Linked DNA regions of Oryzias latipes. The main gene of each other region encodes a partner of the protein of the gene in region 3 in a complex. Links are inferred from orthologs where the notes say so. Each region holds a gene or a part of one and is shown on either strand. Other genes may lie near its edges.

Region 1 (4,381 bases), on a different chromosome or scaffold from region 3:
TTATCATACATAAGCATCCAGGCTGGTTGGATGTCAGAGATTTCGGTATTGATTCCCTCTGATCATCTCTGCATTTCCATTTCCGATAAAAGCACCCAGCCCCCACAACTCACCGGTACTCTGTCCGGGTATTTGTTGCGTATTTTGGCTGACTCCACACATCGGTGCTCTGAGGAAAGAGACAGCAAACAAACAGGAAGTCAGAGATTAAAGGGATCAGTGCGTCCTCTGGGGATTTCCTGTCTTCAGCCTTGAACAAGCACAACACAAGATGGGGGAAGTGTATGTTTCCCACTCATGATCCTCTGTTTCAGAGGAATAGTACAACATCTTCATGCAAATTCATTTCAGACACATGGATGTGCAGGGAGGATGGGAGGAGTGAGTGAGTGAGGGGAGGACTCCATCTAGGTTCATTAGCCCAGATAAAAGTTCTATCTTCAGAGGTGCTTCTTTAAAAAAAAAAGAGTCCTCAAGGTTATCCAATTACCATGAGAATGACAAGACAAAACTTCACAGAAGGATCTTATATAACACAAACTAGGCCTAATAGAAAAAAACAGTAAAAATAGATTAAAAAAAAGGTTGTTTTTTTTTAATCCACCATACTTTTTTAAGTAATGCATGCAAAATATTGAAATTAAAGCAATACTAGATGATGATGCAATGCTTTAAATGGCGTTTCTCTTGAGGTGATCCTAAACAACCTGCAGCAAATGCGTGTTAGCATGATCATGCCAAGCTAAGCAGGATCGATTTCCGGCAGGCTCCTGCGAAAACCCCGCGTTAGTGTGTCTGTGATGGGTGGTGGAGCCACATCGAAGGACACACAGTCCGCGGAGCAAAAAGGAAAAACACGCGACATGAAAAGAGGACATCTCTCTCTGGTTTCATAACAACAACCCAAACCCTTTTTACCGAGGGAATGGTCCTCTTTAAACATCCATTTCATCTTTGCTGGATTCCCGCACTGATGCGTGACGGCAGGGGCGAAAGGCGGGCTTCACGATCAGCTAACCCTGTTGGGGGTTCAAACTTGCAGAAATCCTGCCCAAAGCGACCAAAACAAAACGTCAACAAAGAGCTTCTGTTGCTCAGCTGTCCGTCTCGCGGAGAGGTGACGTCACCGTCTGGCTGTTGGTGCTCCTGGTGCGTTCAAGTGCGCCCAGCAGTGCTCGGTCCAAAAAAATCCTTGTAGTTGGGGCTGTTGACAGACACGCATTAATATCTAGTTTCTACATTAATATCCTTCTAGTTTAATGAAAACAACACCAAAGAAATACAAAATTAATACAGTCAGACTGAATAAACAATGAAACAAAAATGATACATTGAAATGCCTTAGAACGGTCATGGGCATTTATTATTAGAAACACAATTGTATAAAAAATTTTAATGCTTTTATTTGAGCTTTTATTTAAAATTAATAGTTCCCATAACAACGTAAAAAGATAATAATATATGGGAATTTTCCAGGCATGAAATGAAATAACTACTTTTGTGCTTTTACTTAATTTCAGGACCACAGAAGAGTTTCAGCATTCCCCACAGTTCATGAATGCATCCTGAACCATGGTAGCCATGGAAACCGAGGGACGCTGCAGAAATATGGCGGGGGGCTCGTTTCCTTACATGTTGCAGGGGCTAGCAAAATAGCATTTCAACGCGAAAAGTTATCAGAAAAATATGAATTTACTGGCGTTTAGAATCCAGAGGAAGATTTTTTGGAGTTTCTTAACGACCAGTTTAGGTAGTATCGACATTTTTACGCCGGTAATCATTTAGTCCGCTACTAGGTTAGCATCTCCAGCTGTAGCCTTACAGCTAGCTGTCTTTACACCGAACGTATGGCTTTCTACGAAGTGTACTCTCATCCGGCTGTAATTCGGTACAAAACCAGTGTTTGCACAAAGGCTACGCTGTTCCTGGTTGTTGTTTTGTGCCTAACCTACATCCCACCTCTGCTTGTTGCTTATAGGAGTCAAGGTACAGTATATATATCGAGGCTTTAAAGTGTCCATTTATTTCATTTTGAACAAAAGAATATATTATGTTTTTGTTAAAGTCTTTGTTTATGCTAGAATATAAAAAAAGGATTTTTATTATCTATATTACTTTACACGTTACAAAGCCTATGAGTAAAGCCAGGGCCTTTTAAATAAAGTTTTATTAGTCCAGTAAAAATAACAAATTAATAACATTTCAGCAATATTTCATTCCATTTTTACTCAGATTTATTTGATTTAGACAACAACTATTCTCTTTGAATGCATATGAATAAGCTTTTATATTAAATAACCCAAGTTTTTACAACTTTTGCTTTAAGTCTAGATATGAGTTGTTTTCAAAATGACTAAATCCATTTGTGTCTGTTGAAAGATTAGCCTTAAATCTGTTGGATGTGTTTTGATTTGATTGATGGATTTCATGCAGCTTTCAGCTCTAAAATAAAACAAAATATATACATATATATATGTGTGTATGTATATATAGTATCATTTTAAAATATTAGTTCCTAAACTGGTTTGAGAAAAATAAAATGACAGAAAATGTTTTTATACACTTGACATTACAATGTATCATAAATAGGTATATCTACACCTATTCATACAGTACACACGTGTGCAATACATTGAATCCATAAAATATTATGTTTTTTAAATAGAGTTTGATTAATTGGGTGGGAAAGAAGTGAATTTATAATCCCACACCTATTAAATTTTACCAAACTTTTTTTTTTTTGACATGTTTACAATTTTCTTCCAAATAGGTGGCCGAGCCTTTTCAGTGAATGGGGATCGCTGCAGTGGGATCTTCTGGGTCTGGTTCTTGCATCTGGGGAGTCCTGTAGTGTATTCTGTGAACTTGGGTGGGGCTCACTTGTGAGGACGGTTTATAATTTCCCCACAAAGCCGGATTTCTACTTTCTACTTTGCATCATTTTAGTGAATCATTTGATGCACTACTATAGTGTGCGTGCATGTGTGCGTGCATGTGTGTGTGCGGCGGGGGGCATTTTATGCATTGTATACATATTTTTTGTCTTGCTTTTGGTTTTTTAAAATTGGATTATGTTTTTATGTAAAACACTTTAAGTAACTCAAGTTGGAAAAACTGCTCTATAAATAAAGTTTTATTTGATTTGAATGTTTCAAATCCATTACAGGAACAGAATTTACGTTGTGTTATTTTCATGCTGGCTTTCATTGCACATTAGTGCCTTTGCTTGTAATACAACAGTAACCCATATTACCATTCAAAAATGCCCTTATTAATGCTGTGGAACAAATGTGACAAAAATGCTGCTATTTTGAACTGAATTATTCGAACATATTTGGTAAATGATGAATTATGCTTTTAAAACGTCTTCTGTAATTTTTAAAAATGGGTTCAAATGTAAAAAATGCCATGGAAAAGTCAGAAAAGTTGTTGAATTCTGGGTACATCAGATGGACATGTTTTCTGCATGACAAACCTTGTCAAGAAGCAAATTCCATTCCAAAAAAAAAAAATGAAGCAAATTCTATAGGAGATTGTGGGAAGTTTGGCTGAAGGATTCTAATAGAAATCTTATGCTATTTTATGTTTGGTTTTTGGTTTGATGGTAACATAGAATTAGAAGAAATCTCAACGTCAAAAAGTTCCTAAAACCTTATAGTTTTGTTTTTTCAATTTCAGGTTTCTGGTTAAAGCGAAGCACGTATGAAGAACAGCCGGTTGTGAGGTTTCAGTACCAGACTCTGATGGTTGCAGCCACCGGCACTCAAGGGGACTATGTGGCCTGGAGTACCTTCCCACACCTCAACAACATGCTGGGGCCCAACCTGCGGATCCCTGCCGTCTCTGTGAGAACACATTTGTGTATCACTGATATGTGTGACACTTTTTCAAGTCTTAAGAACCACATTCCTATGTCATTGTGTAAGCTGCATTTCAAAGCATTGCTCCTGTTGCCATGGCAATCTTTCATTGATTAGCCCTGATGAAAAGCTGGTCCATGCTTTTTGTTTCTATACTTTAAACCAAAACCTTAATGTGTCTAAAATATTTCTTTAAGACAAATATCTATTACCAGAAAAGTATGTTGCTGTGCGTTTACACACAAACCCATTTACCTAAAAATGATCAGAGTACAGACAAAGAGAAAGTACTTCTGTAGATCCACACACAGTTTTTGAAGAAAATATGACCAATAAGGTGTTAACACTGTGAGAAACGAGTTTTTTTTTTAAACTCAAGTCCACTTAGAATACTTACTGGCCCGCTGGGATCTTTGGCCCTTTTGAAATATAAGGTTTGTTCTTAAATCACATCACATTTTTGCTATACAGGCAAGCGTTTCAACCAAATGAACCCAGAAAGTTGTTGCTGCTTCACAGAT
Region 2 (4,049 bases), on a different chromosome or scaffold from region 3:
TGCCGAGACAGGATCACCTGCAGGCGAGGGAGGAGCTTAGAGTCCACTCCACCAAAACCTCCACAGAAGACTAACAGCAGCAGCTCCAAGTCCTCCTCTGGATGTTTACGGAGGTCAGGACGCGGTTGCCGTGGTTACAGAGACCATCTAACGAAGAGACCTTCCTCAAAGTGAGCATCACGGCACTAACGTGTCAGGAGGACCTCCTCCGGCGCTTACCTTCTCGTCAGGATCCTTGACCTCCACAAACATGCCCAGACCCGGGCTGGCCGGCAGGTACTCCTCCTTCTGCTTGTCGTACAGCTGCGTGCGGTAGTTTCCTGCACACAAACACAAGCGCCCCACAGTCAGTGACAACATCCGGCTGAACGCAGCACTTCCGGTCCTTGGACGCGCTGGTCAGGACCGTTGGACCCGCTTTCCCGGTTCTGCAGGAACCTCAGGGAGCGACCGGTCCCAGACAGCTCCTTCAGAACGAACCATCATCAACTCTGGTCCGGACCTCCACCTGCTGGTTCCTCCTGGAGGAGCTGCCTGCCCATTCTCCAGGAGAACCGCTTGGGTTCCTGGTCTAGGTTCGGGGAACGGGCTGGATTCTTCAGGCGGTTTGGTTTGTTATCCGCGTGCTGATAGGATGAAGTTAGCTTAAACCGTCCTCCGTTCCCCGGTAAAAGACCGATCCTACATCCTCACCAACTTCTACTACGAGGTGTTCGCCAACGTCTCCGTTCATCAAACGGTTCACTAACTACTTCTGGCGGCGTTGGGAAACTTTTTGACGGCGAACCGGAACTTTGTGAGCGTTAGCCGCGCGGCAGCTAGCTTAGCCGCTCACCGATGATCATGGTCTCGTCCGGGATCTCCTCGATGAAACATTTCTTCTCGAGCTCTCCGATGTGGAAGTAGAGCGCGGGCGCGCGGCTGCAGAAGAGCGCGAGCAGCAGGAGCGCCAACACGCACGGCTGCATGCTGATCCGGACCGAACCGTCTTCCAGCCGGAACCACCGAGCTCAGACGGAGTCTGCGCGTCCGCAGCAGTGCCACGTAAACCCTGGCGCGCCTTCGACCAATCAGAGCGCTGCGATGGCAAGCTGGGTATTGTAGTTGTGTGCTGGGCAGAGCGGATGACATCAGAACCAGATTGTGAAGGTTCCTCCTCCTCCTGGAGTCACTGTGGGTTTTTTAATTCAACTTCAAAGGATTACACATTCATGTAACTACAATAGAAAGACATAACAAAAGAAAAAAAGAGTAAGATACAAGACAAATAAATAAATAACATTAGAACCGTAGTTCAGAGAACTAGGGATTGTCATTTAACATGTGATCTTCAATGAAAATTGACAGTTTTATTGCATTTAAAATATAAACAGATCTCTTTATGAAATGTATTGAATAATGATTTGATTTGTAAAAATCTGCCTTTTATAGATGAAAAATTTCCCAAAAATTAATAAAGTATTAAATGCCAAACTAAATAAGTTATCACCAGAAACGACTCCAAATAATACAATGTGTAATACAATGTGTTTTGTAACCAAATAGAAATAAGAAAATTTGAAGAGAACCACCAAAAGAAATCCTCCCAAAACCTGTTAGTATTTATACATTTAATAAACAGATGATCAAGTGTTTCTATGTTGATGTCGCAGAAAGAACAGTTATTTTCTTTAAATGAGGTCTCTGAGGGTCCAACAGGAAACAGCAACAGAAACCCGCATGTCACGTGATTTCAGACCATTGATGATAAAAGGTAACATCGACTAATTATGTATTTAGAGTGATTCAGTGGTGAAACTGAAGAACATCCATTAATAAAATAATGTGAAATTGTTTCAAATATTAGTGTCTTCTGTTTGCTCATCCTGACCAGCAGGGGGCAGCACGGAGCCCCGCCTGACGCTGTCCAGGGAAGAAGAGCCGTTTCCATAGCGACCACAGCGGCTCAAACATGGCGCCTGGTGAGTGTTTTCTTATCATCGTCGCAGAAAGAACGGCGCAAAAACCGCAGGCCGTCTTTCCCCGTCATTTTTCTGCAGCTATCAGAGACGGACGGAAACACTTCCGGTCCGCCGTTGATTTCCGGTTAGCGGCTAAAAACATTCCCACTCGGTGTTTACCTCTGAAACGTTCTTAAACCACCGTCTAAAGCTAAAGATAATCCGGTCCAACAACCGTCACGTCTCCTAAACGCTTCTTAAGCCTCACGTTCAGTTTCACTCTCAGTTTGACAACATTTTTGTCTCACCGCGTCTGCAGGGAGCCGACCAATCGTATCCTTCTGCTGTCAGAGGGGGCGGGGCCTGTCCACCAGCCGCAGTTGTCCTTGACCACGCCTCCTCAGCTGTCCTCCACGCCTCTGCAGGTGCTGCTCTACCTGAACAGCTGGTACTTTGCCGCTTTCTACCTGGCGGAGATCCTCATGTTCATCTACAAAGGTGTGTGGCCCCGCCCCCCTGCAGGTTCACCACGGCTTCACCTGAGAATGAAGCCGAAGGTGTCGTAGAACCTCCAGCCTGTCCTCTGTTCCTCTGCTGGACGTCATGGAGGAGCGTCTGACGGTTGCTGCTGGTGTCGCTGCAGGGATCCTGCTGCCGTACCCGTCTGACAATCTGGTCCTGGATGTGGTCCTGCTGCTCCTCTTCCTCGCTCTGGAGGCTCTGCGCATCTTTTACGGTGACGCCAAACACAAACATCTGCTTTGCTTTCTCCAGAACCGCAAGTGCGGCTGAGAGGTTCTGGAGAACAAAGATGGAACATGCAGGATGAAGAGGATGCAGACGGGCCTGACATTGGTGCTGGATGAGCTAACGTCAGAACAATCACGGTTCTATGCTAGCATGGAAGTGTCAGAAAGACCAAGAATGTGGTTTTCAGATTTAAAAAGGACTTCAGAGCATGAAAGGCATGCTGGGATGTGTAAACGATGATGATGCTGGAGATCAAAGCAGGAAGAAGCTTGGTTCCGTGTGTGAATGTGTGACCTTCATCGTTGTGTTCGGAGCTCCGCCTCTGAAGGTTCTGTTGAAGCGGAACCTTCGGTGCAGAACCTCTCCACGCCCGTCTGAGCGGTGGTCCAATGAGGAGAGAGCGTTCTCACTCTTCACCTGGACGGCCTCCCAGACGGAGGTGGAGGGTTCTCCTCCTGGGTTCCAGGGTTCTGTCTGTGGAAGTGACATGACCCCCCCCCCCCCCCCCCACGCCAGAATTTATATCCAGCTATGAAAAAATGATCAGTTGTGTTTTTGCTTTCAAGTTGAGGCTAAATGAAAGTCGGTTTGAGGAGGAGTGGTTCTTCCTTGCACCAGTGGGCATGAAGGGGTTAAAGCATCTCTGCAGACGTTTGCTGCCTGGAAACATCAGACTCAAACCTGCGGCGAAGCGTTCAGCCGCTCAGGCTCTGTGCTGGTTCTCAAGGCCGGCTGCAGGCGCTGACGCTGTCCCCCTGTGTCGATTCAGGCTGGAAGGGGAACCTGTGTGAGCGCTCCCTGACCTCCTGCCTGTCGCTCTTCATCCTGGTCTCTTGTGCGGCGCTCGCCGTCTACTACCTGCTGCTGCAGACCTTCGTTCTGCGGCTGGAGTTCCTGCTCTGCGCCGTCCTGCTCTGCTTCTACGGCCTGGAGTTCCTGCTGGGATTCATCGCCTTATCTTCCTTCTCCAGGTACCCTGAGCCCGCAGGCCGGTTCTGAGAGCCGGGAAGTCTTTGACCCTCGATGTTCTTGTGCAGGTCCAAGGTGTACTGAGGACAGAAGAGCGGTTCTCTGGAGCCCAGAGGGACACCAGGACAGTTGTTAGCATATGTGCCGCTGACACAAGTTTCTGTGATTCTTCAGGGATTTTTGTAAATAAACATTTTTCTGCAGCTTTGTGAGTTCTGTGTGTCACCAAAATCAGATGAAGCCGGCCACGGGCCACTAGAACCTCCACAGGTCTGAGTTTCAGCTGGAAAACCTTTGATCTGTGTTTGCATGAAGGCTGTCCGTCCTCTTTTCTTAGGAATCACGAGGCCGTCCCTCAGCTGTCAGTGCGCAGAAACATCTGCGCAGAAA
Region 3 (3,623 bases):
GAACGAGCCGCATGGTAAACTTGGCAATGTTTTACGCCGGATGCCCTTCCTGACGCAAGCCTCTCAAAGCAACCGGGCTTGGGACCGGCACAGAGGTAGAGAAGGGAACAGGGAGCAGCCCGGATTTGAACCTGGGTTTCAATTCAATTCAATTCAATTCAATTTTCTTTGTATAGTCCAAAATCACAACAACAGTCGTCTCGATGGGCTTCGAAGTAAAACATGAACTTCCACAGACGGAAGGCGCCGCAAACCAGCACGAGCTAAACCGGCTCCCTAGTCTCTTACATGCAAGCAATCAAGATTTTTTTTTTTCTAAATGTAAGCCATTAAGTATCAGAAAATATACAGGAATGCATTGTCAGTACAAAACCGAGATGCACCTTAAAGCAACAACCACTTGACAAACTTGTTTTTTGTCTCTACACATTTACAGGGCCTTTTTCCTTTGGGCATCTAGCTTAAAAGGGACGCCCAGTCAAGACTTGCACATTTGACTTCAGTTGTACAGCAGATGCCAAACCCTGTTCTTTAACCAGACTTGGGACAGGCACATGGAAACACTGGAGAGTGCCCACTGTGTGCCCGCAGTCATTTACAGCACATAGTAGTCCCAGACAATCTCTCATTAAAGAAACAATCAGGCGTTACCCCGGTTAGCTTCTGGGGACTGGTGTGTCCAGGGTGGCAAAGCCGTTTATGGATTCTTTTATTTCCAGTTACAGAATTTTGCAGACAGACAGCAAGTTGTGGCTGAGCTTTATGCTTTAACTAAGCCTCTGCTGCACTCTCCTACACTGATGCTCTTACTTTTCCAGTCTTTTAAAGGTATGTTTCGGCAGAGACGTTCATTGTCGACTCAGCAATTGCTAGTCTTGAAGACTTTTTTAGATAAACTGTTGTGGAATTGTGTAGCTTTTCAAGCTAAGCGTATGCAAAACGTTCACACCTTTTCAAGAGACTTGGTCCGACAGGTCTGGGTGACCTCTGATAGAGACTGAGAAGGCAAACTGGACCAATCTGAAAGAAAAACATCAGTTACAGCTAAAGAGGCAAAAACAACAATCAAACAACTACTGATACTTAAGACTTACTATTGGGCAATTCCAAAAAGAAGTGTATGTACAAGTTGTCATATTCAAAGCCTTGAGCTGAGACTGTAAAAAAATAGTAGTTATTAATTCTAAACGTGTATTATATATATATAACTGCTAAAGTTAGCTCTGCCTTTTGACTTACCTATTTCTCCGTTCATCAGGTAACGCAGTGTACCTGCAGGAGGCTAAACAACACACATCTCATAGCTCACAAACCTAAATACAAGTCAACATTTACTCAAGTGATAACTATCCTTAAACCTTAATCCTTAAACCTTTTTTTGGCTAAAACTCCTCAAATGTAAGAATTTGCTCTTTAGTATATAGTTGATAGATCATAACATACTTGTCTTTTTTTTAGACCATGGTAAGCATTGAAAATTTGAATTAAAAACGTTACATTAAAACGCCTTACCAGCAATTAACGACATTTATTCAACGGAAACAATAACATACAGGCTGAGACTGCAAGAGTCACAATAACACCGAATGTGGAAAAAATGGACACTTTTCAACAAATAGACACAGGATTGACCTCTGTTTTGAATGTAGTTTGTGGTTTGTTTTCATGTAACAAAAAATCAATAAAAATAAAGTTTAAAACAAAAAACGCCTTACCATTTCAAAGTCCTGTCCAACAAGACCACTGAGGAACTCTTTGTGCCTCACATACAGCTATAAAGAGGAGGGACAAAGTTGATCCTGATTACAGCTTTCATCTTCCATTTTAGCAATAAAAATGTTCTGAATCTCTTTCCTGGTTTATTAGAAAATGCTGATATTGACTCACATCTTTATACATGTTCTGCTCCTTGTTTTTTTCCTCTGGCTTCATGCTTTTTGATACGTTCTCAAAAGTAAGACGCCATATTTCTCGGTTTTCTCCCTCAGCGACAATCCTGTCCAACGACACAAACGTCCGGTTAAATGTCTGATTCACTCTATTATTTTTGCTGTGGTTTTAAATGTACTTTGCTTTTTTCTTTTTTTAAACATACAATCGTTTTAGGATTTGCAGCTTACTGCTGCCATTCTACTCATCCCTTGTGCTATCCTAGGCACTTTACCATTGGGAGTTGGGTCATCTAGACCCACTATTCAGTGCTCTGAACTTTTTTTCTTCAATGATTTGTGATCTTCACTGGTGTCCATGGATTACATGAAATCTTTCCACCTTTATCCACCTTTGTCATGGTAGGAATTACACGTCAATGCAAGGGTGGGGTCATCTAAGATAGCACAAGGGTTAAATGATACGCTAAAAAATGTAGGATTCATTCTCAGCCATCACAGAAGCCTTGTAAACTTGCCTGTAGGGCTCTCGGCCTTTGTTGAAGTCAGGTTTTACAACTATAGTTCCATGGCCGTCGGTTTTTATAGTTATCAGCAGGCACTCGTTCTCTTTTTGACCAAGCCTGAAAATTCACAATAAACATCCTGTCAAATGGTTAGTAGAGCTTTGCACTGGCCAGCTCTGCATGTCATGAGATTAAAAAGTTTACCTCTTACAACCCTTGTGCTGTCTTGTGGGGTATGTGCATCTGGACCCCACAAAATAGCACAAGGGAAAATATCATACAAAACATCAATGATTTGTCTGGTTTCAGATGTAGAAAATACATGTAGAGAAGCTTTATCCTCAGTCTAAGTACCAATAATAATTTACTTAATTTATATAGCACTTTTCGAAAACGAGATTACTAAATTCTGTACAATTAATATGAGACAAAATCCGGATTACAAACAGTTTACAGTATGTAGTAATAAAACCCAGCACACACACAAAACAGTGATAGCAGTTAAAATCAATGAATCAATAAAAAAAAAAAAATTTAAATAAATCCTATGTTTAAATTTAAGAACCGGTAAAATCATTAAAAGCACTCCTATAGAGGTGGGTTTTTAAAAGAGATTTAAATAATGGTAGGGACCCAGCGAGCCTGATCTCTTCAGGGAGACTGTTCCAGAGTGTTGGGGCTCTTACAGCAAAGGCCCTGTCTCCCCTGATCTTCAATCTAGATTGTGGGATTGTTAAAAGGCCTTTTGCCGAAGATCTAAGATTGCGACCAGGTACGTAAGGAATGAGGAGATCGGCTATATATTTAGGGGCCAGACCACAGAGTGCTTTAAATGCACTATTAATGCATCATTAAAATCTATTCTAAAATGGACTGGGAGCCAGTGCAAAGACGCTAAAACTGGAGTGAGGTGGTCTCTCATTCTGGTTTTGGTTAGGAGTCTGGTGGCCGCATTTTGGACTAACTGGAGTTGATACACACTCTGCTGTGAAAGACATGTGTAGAGTGCGTTACAATAGTCCAGACGGGAAAAAATAAAAGCATGAATCACCATCTCAAGACATTTTTTTGATAGGAGAGAGGTTATTCTGTATAACCTTTGTATTTGCCAGAAACAAGATTTGACCACAGATTTAACATGGGTCTCCCCATTCAAATTGGTATCAAATTTCACTCCCAGATTTCTGCAGCTTGAAGAAACATTGTTAGACAAAGACTCCAATTTCTG

Evidence for each region.
Region 1: mks1 (region 3) and tmem231 share a complex: the UniProt entries of both Homo sapiens proteins name them as parts of the tectonic-like complex. The link is inferred for Oryzias latipes from reciprocal best matches to the Homo sapiens genes MKS1 and TMEM231.
Region 2: mks1 (region 3) and transmembrane protein 216 share a complex: the UniProt entries of both Homo sapiens proteins name them as parts of the tectonic-like complex. The link is inferred for Oryzias latipes from reciprocal best matches to the Homo sapiens genes MKS1 and TMEM216.

What each region holds. Positions count from the first base shown.
Region 1 is NC_019864.2:27,556,912-27,561,292, forward strand, and holds the start of tmem231 (transmembrane protein 231), read left to right. Parts: upstream 1-1,568; 5' UTR 1,569-1,847; coding exon 1,848-1,986; intron 1,987-3,678; coding exon 3,679-3,845; intron 3,846-4,381. Other genes in the region: gamma-aminobutyric acid receptor-associated protein-like 2, read right to left, coding at 114-169, 919-952. UniProt on the Homo sapiens protein: Transmembrane component of the tectonic-like complex, a complex localized at the transition zone of primary cilia and acting as a barrier that prevents diffusion of transmembrane proteins between the cilia and plasma membranes.
Region 2 is NC_019868.2:30,553,123-30,557,171, reverse strand, and holds transmembrane protein 216, read left to right. Parts: upstream 1-1,203; 5' UTR 1,204-1,753; exon of another isoform or gene 1,754-1,876; 5' UTR 1,877-1,951; coding exon 1,952-1,961; intron 1,962-2,259; coding exon 2,260-2,273; exon of another isoform or gene 2,274-2,344; coding exon 2,345-2,438; intron 2,439-2,462; exon of another isoform or gene 2,463-2,543; coding exon of another isoform or gene 2,544-2,583; coding exon 2,584-2,676; intron 2,677-3,459; coding exon 3,460-3,661; intron 3,662-3,727; coding exon 3,728-3,743; 3' UTR 3,744-3,863; downstream 3,864-4,049. Other genes in the region: transmembrane emp24 domain-containing protein 9, read right to left, coding at 1-17, 220-320, 836-968. UniProt on the Homo sapiens protein: Part of the tectonic-like complex which is required for tissue-specific ciliogenesis and may regulate ciliary membrane composition.
Region 3 is NC_019872.2:25,018,203-25,021,825, reverse strand, and holds part of mks1 (Meckel syndrome type 1 protein), read right to left. Parts: intron 2,513-3,623; coding exon 2,408-2,512; intron 1,997-2,407; coding exon 1,888-1,996; intron 1,773-1,887; coding exon 1,716-1,772; intron 1,283-1,715; coding exon 1,240-1,282; intron 1,158-1,239; coding exon 1,095-1,157; intron 1,021-1,094; coding exon 950-1,020; intron 1-949. UniProt on the Homo sapiens protein: Component of the tectonic-like complex, a complex localized at the transition zone of primary cilia and acting as a barrier that prevents diffusion of transmembrane proteins between the cilia and plasma membranes.